Linked DNA regions of Caenorhabditis elegans. The protein of the gene in region 1 interacts with the protein of each later gene in a pairwise test. Each region holds a gene or a part of one and is shown on either strand. Other genes may lie near its edges.

Region 1 (7,108 bases):
ATAATGCCTACATAATGATTTTTTCCAATTGAAACTTGCAGACAGAAATTCAAATGGCAAAAAGAAACAAACACCGAAACATTAATCACATTTCTTTTCATATCAGTTTTCCTGTCAAAGCACATTTCTGGAGTCTGTGTGTATTTTTTTGTGTCTTTATGTGATCGGTGTTGTGAAATTTGTAGTTGATGTTGATAACATACTTTTTTTTGAAACAAAAAGTGATTGATTAGGCTTGAATTCAGAGATATGTTCGTGATACTTTGCGATTCTCGAGCCAAAAACACGGTATCCGGTCTCGACACGACAACTTTTTCGCAAAATACAAGCTGATGTGCGCCTTGAAAGAGTACTGTAATTTCAACCTTTCGTTGTTGCGGAATTTTCATAGTTTCTCGTTCAAAATATATGTATTTATTAAACAAAAAACTAAAACAAAACAATTGAGAACACATAAATTGTGAAAAATCAATGAGACCACAGCAAAAAATTTTGTATCTACAGTACTCTTTAAAGGCGCACATCCGTTCTTATTTTCAGCAAAAATGTCGCTTCGAGACCGGGTACCGTATTTTTTTTTGTGCAAAACTTTAGGTCTAGGTAATATTAAAAAAAAATTCCACAAAACTAGAATCTAGAGCTTTCCATTAAATTTTTTGATGACATTTGAAAATTCATGATGATTTTTTTCCAACAATTTCGAAATATCCCTCTTTTCACCTGGTCCACTGAATTCTCTTTCCGAAAGACCACCACAATTTCAGGGCTCCGCCCATTTCGTGGTTTGTAGCCTTCCCGACCCTACGTTTTTGATGACAATTGTGAGAGAAGTGAGAGGTTCAGACACAAAAAGCGACGTGGTCGAATGAGTATAAATAGAGAGTGAAGTTTCCAATTTCCCTCACAATTGTTTGTTTGCAATCCACTTTCCAAAAAAACACAACTTCAATCAAAAATCATTATGGTTTCCTACAAGTTGACCTACTTCAATGGACGTGGCGCTGGAGAAGTGTCTCGTCAGATTTTCGCCTATGCCGGACAACAATACGAGGATAATAGAGTCACTCAGGAACAATGGCCAGCATTGAAAGAAAGTGAGTTTGGAATTATTATTACTCAATTGTGAAGGCGCCTGGGTCTCGAAACGACTTAAAATTCGCAGTTACCGTAACCAAATTTTTTTTTGCGATTTTCTATGATTTTTTTCCTGATTTTTTTCTACAAAAAATCATATTTTTTGGGTTAGTATTAAAAAATTAAGTGAATTGCAGTTTTGGGTACGGTACCAGTGAAATTTCGGTCGTGCCGAGACCTATAGTTACCGTATTTCAGCGCCGGAAATCTCAAAATCCTGCAATTAGGGAATATCTACAGTTTTGTGGAACAAAAACATGAAAAGCGAAAAAAATCACTTCTCGTGGTCTCGACACGATTTCTACATTTTTGACCAATTAAAGAATTCACTTCTTTTGAAAAACTATACTTTTTCCATAATTTTCTCAAACATAAGCTAAATTTTTTGTAAAATAACTTTGTAAAATAGCTTAAAATCTTTTCCTTTTTTTAATCCAAGAGAATTATTTTTTGAATAAAAAATATTTTAAAAAACTATTTTTTCCAGCCTGCGCTGCTCCATTCGGACAACTTCCATTCCTCGAAGTCGACGGTAAGAAGCTTGCTCAATCCCACGCGATTGCTCGTTTCTTGGCTCGTGAGTTCAAGCTCAACGGAAAAACCGCCTGGGAAGAGGCTCAAGTGAACTCTCTTGCCGATCAATACAAGGATTATTCAAGTGAGGCTCGTCCATATTTCTACGCTGTCATGGGATTCGGTCCAGGAGACGTTGAAACTTTGAAGAAAGACATCTTCCTTCCAGCATTTGAAAAGTTCTACGGATTCTTGGTCAACTTCTTGAAGGCTTCGGGATCCGGATTCCTTGTCGGAGACTCTTTGACCTGGATTGACTTGGCTATTGCCCAACATTCAGCTGATTTGATTGCCAAGGGAGGTGATTTCAGCAAGTTCCCAGAGCTCAAGGCTCATGCCGAGAAGATCCAGGCGATTCCACAAATCAAGAAATGGATCGAGACCCGTCCAGTCACACCATTCTAAATAGCTGTATAAAATCTGCAAATAAATATTTTTTTTTTTTAAATTCAGTTTATCAACATGTCAACAGTGTTCGCTAAGCGATAATACAACTGGAGAATTGGAGAACAGAAAACAGAGAACAAAAAATGAAGAAAATCAACAAAAAGAAAATTAAACAATTTCGAGATCAATATGCGAGGAGGTGCGAATAAATGTGAATTTTCGGGGGGCAGGATAAAACATGGTGGGATATGTAAATAGATTATGTGAATATAATGTGGATGCATAAAAATATAACACGAACATCTTTCGAAAAATATATATTATATATACATATTAGTCGTCTCCAAACGCCTCCAGGTGATGCTTCGTTGTGTGTGCGTTATCGCCAGTGGCTCCACAGATTCCACAGACCATTGAGCGAAGTTTTGGGCATCTGAAAAATGATAATATCTGTTGAAGGTCGGAAATTTCAACAAACTTACACAACTCTTCCCCTTTTCTTCGAGCAGTGATCGGACCATGGTCCACGATCATCTTTCCGTGGAGCTGGCAAAGTGTGAAGTCTCGCAAATTCGGAAGCGGTTCCGAAGCAGAAGCAGCAGCAAAGTGGATGTGGAGGATTTCCTCTCGGTGGCGAAGTGGAGTTGTTTCGCTGCTGAAAAAAATGGACTTTTTCGAAAATCATTTGATTGGAATTAGTTACCTCTCGATTCTCAACATTTCCATTACGAGTAGAATTATTATGTACATTCATTTGGGGGTTGTACCCGTGAAATCCAGAGTTCTGGAAGATAGAAAAAATTTAAAATAATTGATTTTTTATTGACTAACCTCTCCAAACGGCATAGTCGATGGTGGCAGAAGATTGTTTTGCTCCAAATATTCCTGCAGTGAAAGGAACTTTCCGGCGTTCTGAATTCAAATACGTTTTTTAAAAATTAATAATTAAAAAAACCTTGTAAGTATTGTCAGTGCTGCTACAGCTTGAAGATTCTGAGGTGGAAGTCCTGTTCGAAACCATATCGAAGCTTCTTCTCTGGAACGGAAAATCTTGAGACATCCGGCGCTGTAATGAAGATATATATTATTAAAAACCGAAATGTTAAAGAATAAGATGTTAGAAAGATGCTTACTTCCTGTCCGATGGCTCCAAACGGACATCCCAAAACCAGCGAAACCATTGGATCTTCGACATCGACAGCTGGAGAGGCTTGAGCTGGCTGCTCTCGAAACTCGGTGATGAAGTTATCGCCCACGAGGTAATCTATCAAGAAACTGTTACTCTTCTGCCGCTTCTTTTCCTCCTGCATTTTCACGATTTTCCGAGCAAGGTAGCACAAAGAATCGACGGAATTTACAACTGGATCGATCTGAAAATAAAAATCTCAAATGAAAATGAATTATTCAGGTTTCATTCCAACCAGTTTTCTAGCAGTTTTTTTACAAGGGGTGCTCCCTTCCAGAGTGAAGATTGGCGGAAATGAGGATCCGTTGGCCTGTGGTTTCGTATATTTTGGTTCGATCTGAAATTTCGGGTTTATTTGGTGAATTTGATCAGTTTCAACTCACCGGAAGGCTCTTCTCGCGCCGAGACATCGGAGAAGTCCTGAAAATCAACATTTTGTAGGATTTCGAAGTTAAAATTAAAGTCGAAGGGAAAAAAGACGGGTAAAATAAAGAAAACGGGTGAATATTCTTTAATTTGTGTTGGAAAAATTAATACTTTAACATTTTTATTATAAAAATAAACAATTTCAGTCGGAAATTGACCTTAATTTCAAAAAAATAACTTGAAAAACAGAATTTTAGCGTGAGAAAACAAATTGGGGCCGGTGCAGGTCCCGCCTGGAATTTTAAAGGCGCAATGGTTACTGTAGTGAGAAAATTTTAACTGTGATCAGTTGACATCACTAAATCAAAAAAATCAACAAAAAAGATTTCCGAAACAGATTTTCTCTGATAAAAAAGGGAAAAAAATTTAAAAAAAAAACGTCGAAACAATCCATAAACTCATTTATTCGCGAAATCTCTAGTTAATTTTCATCAATTCAAGTTTGCTTTTCCATTAAAATCGGTGTAATGACCAAGTCCTTGGAAATCGAGAGAATTGCTCCAAAGTCTGAGCCTGGAAAAAATAATTATAGAGAATATTGAAAAAGAAACACTGAAATTACCATATCCCGGAGCCGACCACAAGTTGATGAGCCGGTTGTTCCAGCACGGAAGGTAGCCGTATGGCACGTAGGATTGTCCTTAATTAGAAAATTAAATATTTAGAAAAAACTGTGAAAATTATAAATTATCAATATTCTCACCTCGAATCATAACATTACATCTCGTCGCTTTGCAAGCTCTCTTGACAGCCTGCTTCCCAAACCAATCGCCTTCGGTATCTGAAAGTTCAGATAAAAATTCAATTTCATCCTTTTTAGTAAAATCATACTTGGATTCGGTCTATACATTCTGACACGATTCGATGGCTGATTGAAGATGATATGTCGCTCGACCGCGTTCATGTGCTCTGCAGTAACCGGTCGGAACAGGTGATGAATGTGCCCCTTCTCTCGAATCATTGGAGAAAATCCACTGTAGACGGCGAGCACAGATTTACCAATAATTGCAGCAAATGGCATATGTGTACACATTCTTTTAATACAAGATTGAACGGCTCTTGTGATGACTGGATGAAGACGAGTCGACATTCGGAACGGAGATGTTTCGGGTTCTCCTCGGAGAATAAAGACATGCTTCGGGAAACGACACTGAAAAATGCTGGTTTCTTGATGAAGAAAAATGTTTTATTGATTTGAGAAATAAATTTATTCCAGCTAAAACTTTTAAAAAGGCGCCAGAAATGGTCGGGATACTGTAGTAGTATTGTAGGGTTACTGTTGTCAAAAACGCTACTATCCAACTCTCGCAAATCTCCCTGTTTGAATTCCCTCAACAATGAGAACTACGACCTACAGACTACAGAACTACAGAACTACAGAACTAGAACTACACGGCCAATCAGCAATGATTGGCTTCGCTCCAACCAATCAGAACGAGCGTGCGAAGATCGAAGACGATGATTGGTTGGGCGCTGCTCCTGGAGGAAATTCAAACAAGCCATTAATGAGAATCCACCTTCAACGAGCAAATCAACGCAAGACACTCGACCGATCCAGACTCCCCGCTATCCAAAATTCCACCCAGGAACAAGATTCGATTATGAGGAGGCCATCCGGTTAGTTGCAGCCATCTATGCAGGTCAGCGTATCTGGAAAAATTGAAGTAGATCCTAGATTCACAGGAGTGTTCTGAACCTTCCACGAATATCTCCGATCACTGTGATGTCTGCTTCAATCTGGAGAAGAGATGGTTCCTCGGCCATTTTGAATGCAGTTTCTTCGAATAACTAGAAATTATAGAAATTACTTTCTCCAAAACCTTAAAGCCCTGTGATTTTAAAACTCACACAAAGTAGCTCCAAAGCTGTAAATGGATATTGATAAGGACCATGTTCAATCATTCGATAAAGAAGATCATATGGTGAGTTGATCGTTCGAACTGTGCTCCAAAGTGTGTGTCCCCAGCCCTTTGCTTTAGTTTTCAGCGGAGGTTTTATGAATACCTGAAATTGAAGAAATAGGTGGTTGTCCTAGAGTTAATCCTTTACCCTTCTCGTTCCTGATCCCGCGACCACCTCACTTTCAACTACCGCAAGTGATTGAGCAGACTTGGATTTTGAAGATTCTTCTGTTGAAACTGACTTCATTCGGGAATATTTGACCTTATCTTGATCCGGAAGTTGTGATAAAAGATATGCAGTTTCCTTGACAGTGAGGCGTCCAGTCACTTCCAGGCCGGTCTGAAAAATTGAAGTCTAGGTATGAGGCAAAATATGCTGCAGGCACATGGAAAGACATGAAACAGGAAAGGAGTTTGACAGAAAGGTAAGCTGGCATGAATCAAGTTCTGAGGCCGCAGGAAAATATAGGCAGGCGTGTTGTTAGGCATAGACAGGCACGAGGCAAGTAGGTAGGTATGAGAAAGCTAGGCGAACATGAGGCTATCATGAACCAAGTATTCCGGCCTGAGGCGGGATTATATATAGGCAAGTAGGTAGGTAGGCATGGGTAGGCACGACAAAAGTAGTTGGGTAAGAGAGAGGTAGGTAAACAAGCTTGTGTAGGCAAGGCTGTTACAATTTTGGCGCAAGAGATAAACTCTCGTCACCAAAACATCTCCAAAGAAGAATCCGATCTGTAAAACTCACATCCACAATAGTACTATCCTTGAAACTGGATTCTAGAATCAGCTCGTGCTCCAACTCCCTACACTTCTGTCCTGATTGTGACATTTGTTTGGATTTGAACCAACTCATCACCTTTGTAACAATACCATAAACCATCAATATCCCGATCAACGAAGTCACAACAAAAAGAAGAAGATGCTGAGAATTGTACTTATTCCTCATAATTGCCAACATACTCCAATTTCTTCGGAACCAGTAACGGTGCGAATACAGAACGGGCTCATTACAGTATGGTGTGAAGCAGCACGTCTTGCGAACAAAAAGCCGCGGATTTCGAGTAGTGTCGCCTTTTATCATGTAGTCTATTGTGTAGGCAGATCCATAAAATTCCTTCACACTGCATTGAAGTTTTTGAAGTTCAGGGCTGCAAAGAATGTGTTTAAAACTTCTCGAAAAACTCTAAAATATCAGATATAACAAAGGGAACACAACAAATTTGGTTTGTTCGAGAAAATGATTCTCAAACTACTTGGTTGACCTACGTGCCTACACATCTACTTAGCAGGCTGCCTACTCGCCTACTGCATGCCTAAATACCTTCCACATTCCACAATTTTCCCCCACATTAAATTTTCTTGAACATAATCTAATTTTCCCATGTTTCTTTTGTTATATTTGGTATATCTGTGAGCACAATTTCTAAAGGTCACTACGTTGAAAAAAGGAATAATGTAGACATACTTGAAGCTTTTGCTCTCACAACCAACTCGATAG
Region 2 (6,996 bases), 3.1 Mb from region 1:
GTGGCCGTGGAAGAGAATGTCCTTCTGTTTGGACTGTCTGAGTCTCTTTTAGAGAGGGAAGAGGCATAGAGTACTTCGCGGAAAAAATGAGTCTGGTCTGGACAACGAGATAGATAGAGAGAGCCAACCGTACTCGGTCAAATGTAATGCATGTATTATATTGTCATATATGCCCCAAAATAGGGTTTAAGTTATTTTATACAATTGACAACATTATTAACATTTCTTTTTAGAGTTAGATCAACCTTATAGTTCAATACTTTATTTCCTCTATTACCATTCCAGTCTCTTATAGTCACACTTACCAGCAAATAAAAAATAGTCCTACATGCAGGCCTAATAAAAAAACAATGTTTATTTCAAATTTTAGGACGAATGGAAGTTTGCAGCTCAAGCAGTTGACCGATTCTGCCTTATAATCTTCACAATTGTTTTTATAATTTGTTGCTTCATTTTTGTTGCAATTCCACCTATCAAAATATTGGATTGAACTAAAAAATATTAAATGAATATTTTTATTGTTTCAAAGCTCACACATAAACAAATTTGCAAATAATAAAAATGGGGGATATATTTAGATTTGAAAAAGTAAACCGTATTTCAAGTTTTTTGGTCAGTCAGCAGTTTTAGAAAAAAAAAATTGTTGGAACCCATTTTGAATTTTTGAAATTTTTCATGGACTAGAATGGAAAGAGTAAGCGGGTATTTCAGGGATTTGACAAGATGATTATTGGAGAAGTAGAGATGAAATATTTGATATTTTATGAGGTTCATTTTCTTGGAGATGCTGGGATTTCTCTTCGTTGACCACTGCTTATTCCAGTCATACTTCTACGTGTTGGTTCTCTTTTCATCGTTCCACTTTTTGTGAATACCTGAAACATTTAATTTTTGTAAAATGTGATAAGGCATAAATGCATACCTGTCCGATTTTTTCAGCAAAATTAACACTGCTAATAGATTCATTCAAACTCTTTGCATCTGGTGATAAATGCACAATGACCAGAGTTTTACTGTCTCCATCTGAAAATAATATTTAAAAGGGAAATCCCAATATATTATGAAACTCACTCAAGCTATCTTCAAGAATTCTTGTCAATTGACAATTTCTGAATGGAATATGTTTTTGATTCTGGCGAAGAGCAAGTACAACATTTCCAAGTTCAGATAGAGATTTATTGATAGCTTGAGCTTCTTTTAGCAGTTGACCGGTTGCATTCGTTTGAGAAACTCTCTCTGATCCAGCAAGATCTACCAAATTCAGACGACCTGAATAAATCATATATTCAAAATATTTTTTCACTTGAAAAATGACATACCAACTGTAGTTGCTTTTGTTATAAGATTTGTGGCCGATACTAAAACTCTAACAATAACATGAGAACGACTGGATTCAATATTGGCTTCAGTAGCAGCTACAGCCTGAAAATTGAAAATTTAGAATATGAAGTTGTTTCAAATTCACCTTATTCTTTCTTCCTCTAGCAAGCGTTTCCGTGACTTCTTCTGCAGAGTTCACTGAAACTTCCTCAAGTCCTGGAATTGAGCTTCTCCCTTCTTCAGTTTGACGAATTGCCAAATTTGTGTTGGAAGTGTTCAAGAGATCACTGAAAAATGAATTTGCAATTTTAGGTTAAAAAAAAAGTCAATTTACCGTATTTTTTCATTGTATATCTCCATCATGGCAACTTTAATATCATATTTTATATCGCCCGTTCTCTCCTTCGCAGTTTCGAACAATTGCATAATAGCTCTTTGATTGATTCCAGGCATTGTGACGGGACCCTGAAAATTGGAAATTTAAAGTTCTATTGAAAATTTAATTAAACTTACATCCATAGTGTATGTTTTTCCACTTCCGGTGTGTCCATACGCAAATATGCATACATTATAACCATCAATGCAAGATGTAATAATCGGAGAAACTTCATTAAATATCTGATCTTGCGAGAAATCAGTTGGAATAACCTTGTCAGCTCCAGCACTAGTTTTCCGAGTTCCCGTTGTGTTTGACACGTGGACAACTCCGTTATCCATTTCATCTATCACGACAACTGGTTTTTGATTGTCAGTTTCTGATGCAAGTTGTGGACGGATACGGTAGAATACACGAATGTTACCTTAAAAATTGAAAATTTTAGTTTTTTGGAAAGTAGTTATAAAGATCAATCATTCCGATTTCTTGGAATATTTCAATCAATTTAGAACTTACCATTCAACTCAACCAATTGATTGTGTAATTGCTTTCGTTTTTCCATTTCTGCTTTGTATCTTTCAATGAGAACTCGGAAGAAATCAGTTGTCTTTGAAGTGAGCATCATTCTCATTTCAGCCATACATACATTGAATGCATCTTTTGTATCCAATGCTAGTCTCTTCAATTCATCTTTTTCAGTTTTCAGCTCTTCTGCACATCTCTGAAGTTTCTTCCAATGCCCTTCTTCTCTCATTGATTGAACCATTTGAGGATATGGCTTTATGACGTCACCCGTTGGTTGGGGGCTCACTGATCTGGGAACCGAACATGAAGAATCACGGCTGGAATACACAGGAAAACATGCAAAGGCTTGCAAACGGAAAATAAATTACACTACATTTTTGACCTACTTTTCAAAAAATTCAAGTGTTCAAACTATTTTCACAAGACAATCACATTACAATAAAATGGTTACCTCAAAGCAAATCGATCCTCATTGCTTGTCATATCACTTTCATAATCTTCATCAGTTTCCAATAACTCATTCACTCTTGCCACTTTTTGCATTTGGCTCAGCGCATTTTTCAATCGTAGATTTTCTTCCGAAAGATTTCCGAAATCCAGTGAAAGAACTGAAATTCCTTTCAGCATATTTGACCGATTTGTGTATGACGTGGCACGGCCTGCAATTCAATTTCAACATTTAATAACCTGATCATTCCAATTAGCCGTTTGCTAGATTATTGTTTAGAAATAAGCTGTTGTAAGTTTTGTTTGGACTTGCGAAATTAAAGTGAACATGTAATGATGTTAGAAAAATATTATCAGTATCGGCCGGATTGAAATGATTTTGGTAGAATATGTGAAATTGAAAAAAGGCACTGTCAACCAAAAAACCAAGTAGAAAATAATAAAGATTAAACACTATAAAATCATGCCAATCCGACCACCACAACACAATTACTTTAAGAAAAAACAAAAATGCGTATTAAAAGATAACACTTTTGAGCTAAAGATAGCCAAATCACACGACGATCAAAAAATTGGGATTAAAAAACACGGTACTCATGACAATATATCAAGTAAGTGTCTAAGATTACGGATAAGTAATACGGGGTTTTAATCATGCAAAACTTCACAAAAATTCACTACACACGACAGTGCGTACCTTGAATAAAATCTTCCATATTTGCAATTCGTGACTCTTGTTCGTCTATAATATCTTCTAAATTTCTCAGAAGTCGGTCTTTTGTCTCAATGTGTGTCTCCAGAATTCGCATTTGCAACTTCATATTTACGAGTTCCACCTGAAATTGAACAATAATTGGAATGTGAATTAGAATTCTGGTACACAATTTTTTAATAAACTCAGTGAAAAATGGTTCAATCAATTTCAGAAAAAAAAAATCTTAAAATATTCTCTCAAACTTTGTGCAACTAGTGACACTAGTTAAACCAAAAACAAACTGAAATTAGAACAAACCTCATGAATATACTTGCATTGTTGGAAAATATCGACTTCGCCGACATGCGAATCCATTTTTAAAGTCAAAAATGGAGTGAGAGACTCCTGTGTTTATGTGTGTCGATCGTTTATTTTTTCTGGAAAACAGTAATTCTAGGGTGCAGCGGTTGAGGAAAACAACGCAAAAAACGGAGACAAAAATTTTTGTGTTCATTTAGAAACATAGAGGATAGTCAACATATTTAAGAGTATGTAAAATTGAAAAAGGAAATAAAAAGTGAACAAAATGTCAACAACGTTCGATTTTTTACTTTCTCTTTCTGTCTACTATATCGTAGCCAGATCAAAAAGGATAATCTTTTAGTTAGCAACTAAAACAACAGGAAAAAAACAAAAAAAAGTAAAATATAGCAACTGAATGGCATTCAAAAGTATCTCAAGTGGTCTTCTATACAAGACCAAGCCGAAAATGAATTGTTGGTCAGGTATTATTAGCGGAAAAAGGGAAGAAAAGAAAAAACCGAGAAGAAGTGAAAGAACTGGTCGAATATGGAGAAAAAGGTGAAGAAGTATCTCTGCAAATACAGTGATTCCACGTCATAAAAAAGTGAGAGAAGGTAAACTAATAAAAATTGAAGAAGGAATGAGGAGGATGAAAAGTTGAAAGGGCACAGAGAAAGAGCTTGTAGCGAAACAGGCGCACAAATCAAACATGAAATTGAATACAATGTAGACTGATGGCAGAACATTGAACAAAAAGGAAGAGAAAATTATTTGTGATCTGATCTCGGTACTGTTTTGTTTGCCGTCAAGCACTTTCATGAATGAGGTTAATTTTGTATTTATAGAAAATTCACAGAACGGTCGAGTTTCAAATAGTGGAAAAGGTATCATCAACTTGCTATAACCTAGTTTATTCCATCGCTCCAAAATTCTTGTAAATGTATAGAATTTTCATAGAACAACTGATGAGAATATATTGGTTGATTAAAAAACATTTTGAAACAGAAATTAAGCCCAATTTATTGAATATTTGGAGGTTTGAATAAATGGTTATTAAAAACTCAGAGCTTGTTTTCTGATAATATAAAGAATGATCTTTAAATAAATTAAAACAATTTGTTTATAATGAATATTGATGATTTCATTAAGCTTGTCTGACTCGGGTCACTCTACAGAATAACGAACGAAGAATTCTGACTAAAGCCAATAAGATTTGTGGAAAAATGTTTGAATTCCATCACCCGGAGCTCATGATTTGTTCTTTTCTTTCTTCCAACATCATTCCATTTCACATTTTCACAAACGAGCCTGTGTTCGGTTACAAGAGCTCATAAACTTCTAGTGCACATTTTCACATTTTCAAGTGGTTGAAAAAGAAAAAAAAACGAAAAGTGACGACGGTAGTGAAGAAATCTGAAGAAAAAAGAAGAAGCATGTCGATTCACATTGAATTGATGAGAAGGAAAAGGATGGAGTGTGCTCCGAGAAACCGACGAGCAACATGATTTATTAGTTGTGACCCACAAAAAAGGAGTGACACGAAATGGGAAAAAGTCTGTTTTGGGTAGCATCTAGATCAGAGAAATTCAGGCGATAGGCATATAAATACAAGGAAAAGTCTAAATTGGATTGGTGTTCAATGATGGAAGTTCCAAGACAAAATTCAATGACCAATCAGAAATTTCAAGAGTTAAGCGATGATGGTGGTGGACTACGGGCATGAATGTGTTTGTAAAAGTGATCAAAATGATGCGGAAAAGTGATCGAAAAGAGACGAAAGTAGGCGGAGTTGGGCGGAAATGAGAGGGACGCGGAACGGGCACACACACACGTAATAGGCAGTAAGCCAATTGTTTCTGCTCGTTTTTCAGGTTTCATTTCTTGTTTTATGGCGAGAACATACACATTACATAACACAAACAAATAGTTTTCCGTGTAATTGTGATGACCACGACAAGACCGCTAATTACAGAACATGAGAATTTGGAGAATTTAAGCGCAGAAGGAGAGAGAGAGAGATAGGGAAAGAGTTCGAAATGTGGAACATCAAGAAAAATGTTGGTATTGAACTAGAATAATTTTTAAAAATTGCTTCACCAATATCTTTCGTGCTCTTGAAATCTAGACACATACCTCATTTTTGATTAGTAGTTCACACTTTCACTTCATTTTAAAAGGTTATTTTTATTTCGAAGATATATCAATAAATAATTAAAAACAAAACTATAAAGAAAGAAATTATACATACTTTATTAGTTGACACTTAAAAAAACAAATGGTAACAAAAATATGACTTGTTAAAATTTGGTAATGGGATGCAAAGCTAATATAGGGAAAAACGATGAAAGAACTTAAAATCGACGTTTTTCAAATTGAAATGCACTCCAAACTGAGTCCCTAGTTTTTTTTGAATTTCCAAAGTCATCAGCTTAATACAGAGACAACAACGAAAAACTACAGAAAGTACAAAATGAAAGTGAGTTTCCGTGAAACGGATGGATTACCATCACCTCCCAAACCGGGCATGTTCATACAACTTGTACATAATAACGGTGAGGGTGGCGACCTCACCAAACGATGATCAGGGAGAATCGGAAAAAAGGAGAGAGGCATCGGATGAACAGAAAGGATGAACAGAAAGGAGAAAGGATATGAGTATATGTACCGCCTGGAGAAATAAATTCATAGAGGATTAGAGAAGTGAAGTATGAGGTTGAGGGAGAGGGAGAGGGGCACACGCATAATATAAATAAACAGGCGTTGCGAAGAACCTTTCCTACTAGTTGGTGGCCGGCAAATTATTGGTCAGGTCTTCTGTGTAGATTTTTTCAAACTAAAAATATAGATTTTTTAGAAAAAAAACTAAGTTACTGAACTAAGTTACTGAATATTGTAATTTCCTGGAAACTGAGAACATTAGCTACTTCAATCAGTTTTTGGAAACTCATTACATGGCTGAAAATGCCGTCATAAGATTTAGTAAGTCCAACAATATTTATGTTTAAAATGTAAAAAAAAACAGAGCTTCCATTTTGGCAGTAATTTAAAAGAGAGATACTTTTTAAAAATGTACATTTCATTTTTAAAAGTGAAAGCAAAATTATAGCTTGATAAGAAAACATACAAAATATCTAAAACAAATAAAATGTGTAAAATGTGTTTATAATAGAATGCTTTATATACTCACGATATGATAAGTTTATCCGATCGGATAACTAGTTCAAGTGATAAAAAGTTAGGTGTGGTTTATCTCATGCATGAAGTTATCTTTTTGAGTATCATTTGCAAATAAATAATATGCTTCAATTTATTGATAATCGATCAAATAAAA

The links. The genes of interacting proteins can lie anywhere in the genome.
Region 2: the proteins of nos-1 (region 1) and klp-3 interact in a two-hybrid assay, tested with the Caenorhabditis elegans proteins (one large-scale study listed by BioGRID).

What each region holds. Positions count from the first base shown.
Region 1 is NC_003280.10:10,949,452-10,956,559, forward strand, and holds nos-1 (Nanos-type domain-containing protein), read right to left. Parts: upstream 3,715-7,108; coding exon 3,664-3,714; intron 3,618-3,663; coding exon 3,516-3,617; intron 3,465-3,515; coding exon 3,228-3,464; intron 3,161-3,227; coding exon 3,050-3,160; intron 3,007-3,049; coding exon 2,926-3,006; intron 2,879-2,925; coding exon 2,798-2,878; intron 2,750-2,797; coding exon 2,577-2,749; intron 2,528-2,576; coding exon 2,428-2,527; 3' UTR 2,141-2,427; downstream 1-2,140. Other genes in the region: gst-5 (putative glutathione S-transferase 5), read left to right, coding at 962-1,094, 1,622-2,112; spe-57 (Serine/threonine specific protein phosphatases domain-containing protein), read right to left, coding at 4,143-4,219, 4,269-4,346, 4,410-4,487, 4,538-4,856, 5,224-5,356, 5,403-5,494, 5,555-5,710, 5,756-5,947 and 2 more.
Region 2 is NC_003280.10:7,839,158-7,846,153, reverse strand, and holds klp-3 (Kinesin-like protein klp-3), read right to left. Parts: upstream 3,802-6,996; 5' UTR 3,738-3,801; coding exon 3,681-3,737; intron 3,505-3,680; coding exon 3,366-3,504; intron 2,881-3,365; coding exon 2,673-2,880; intron 2,539-2,672; coding exon 2,213-2,538; intron 2,121-2,212; coding exon 1,834-2,120; intron 1,786-1,833; coding exon 1,655-1,785; intron 1,608-1,654; coding exon 1,466-1,607; intron 1,423-1,465; coding exon 1,320-1,422; intron 1,270-1,319; coding exon 1,072-1,269; intron 1,024-1,071; coding exon 923-1,023; intron 876-922; coding exon 771-875; 3' UTR 501-770; downstream 1-500. Other genes in the region: Acetylcholine receptor subunit alpha-type acr-7, read left to right, coding at 371-490.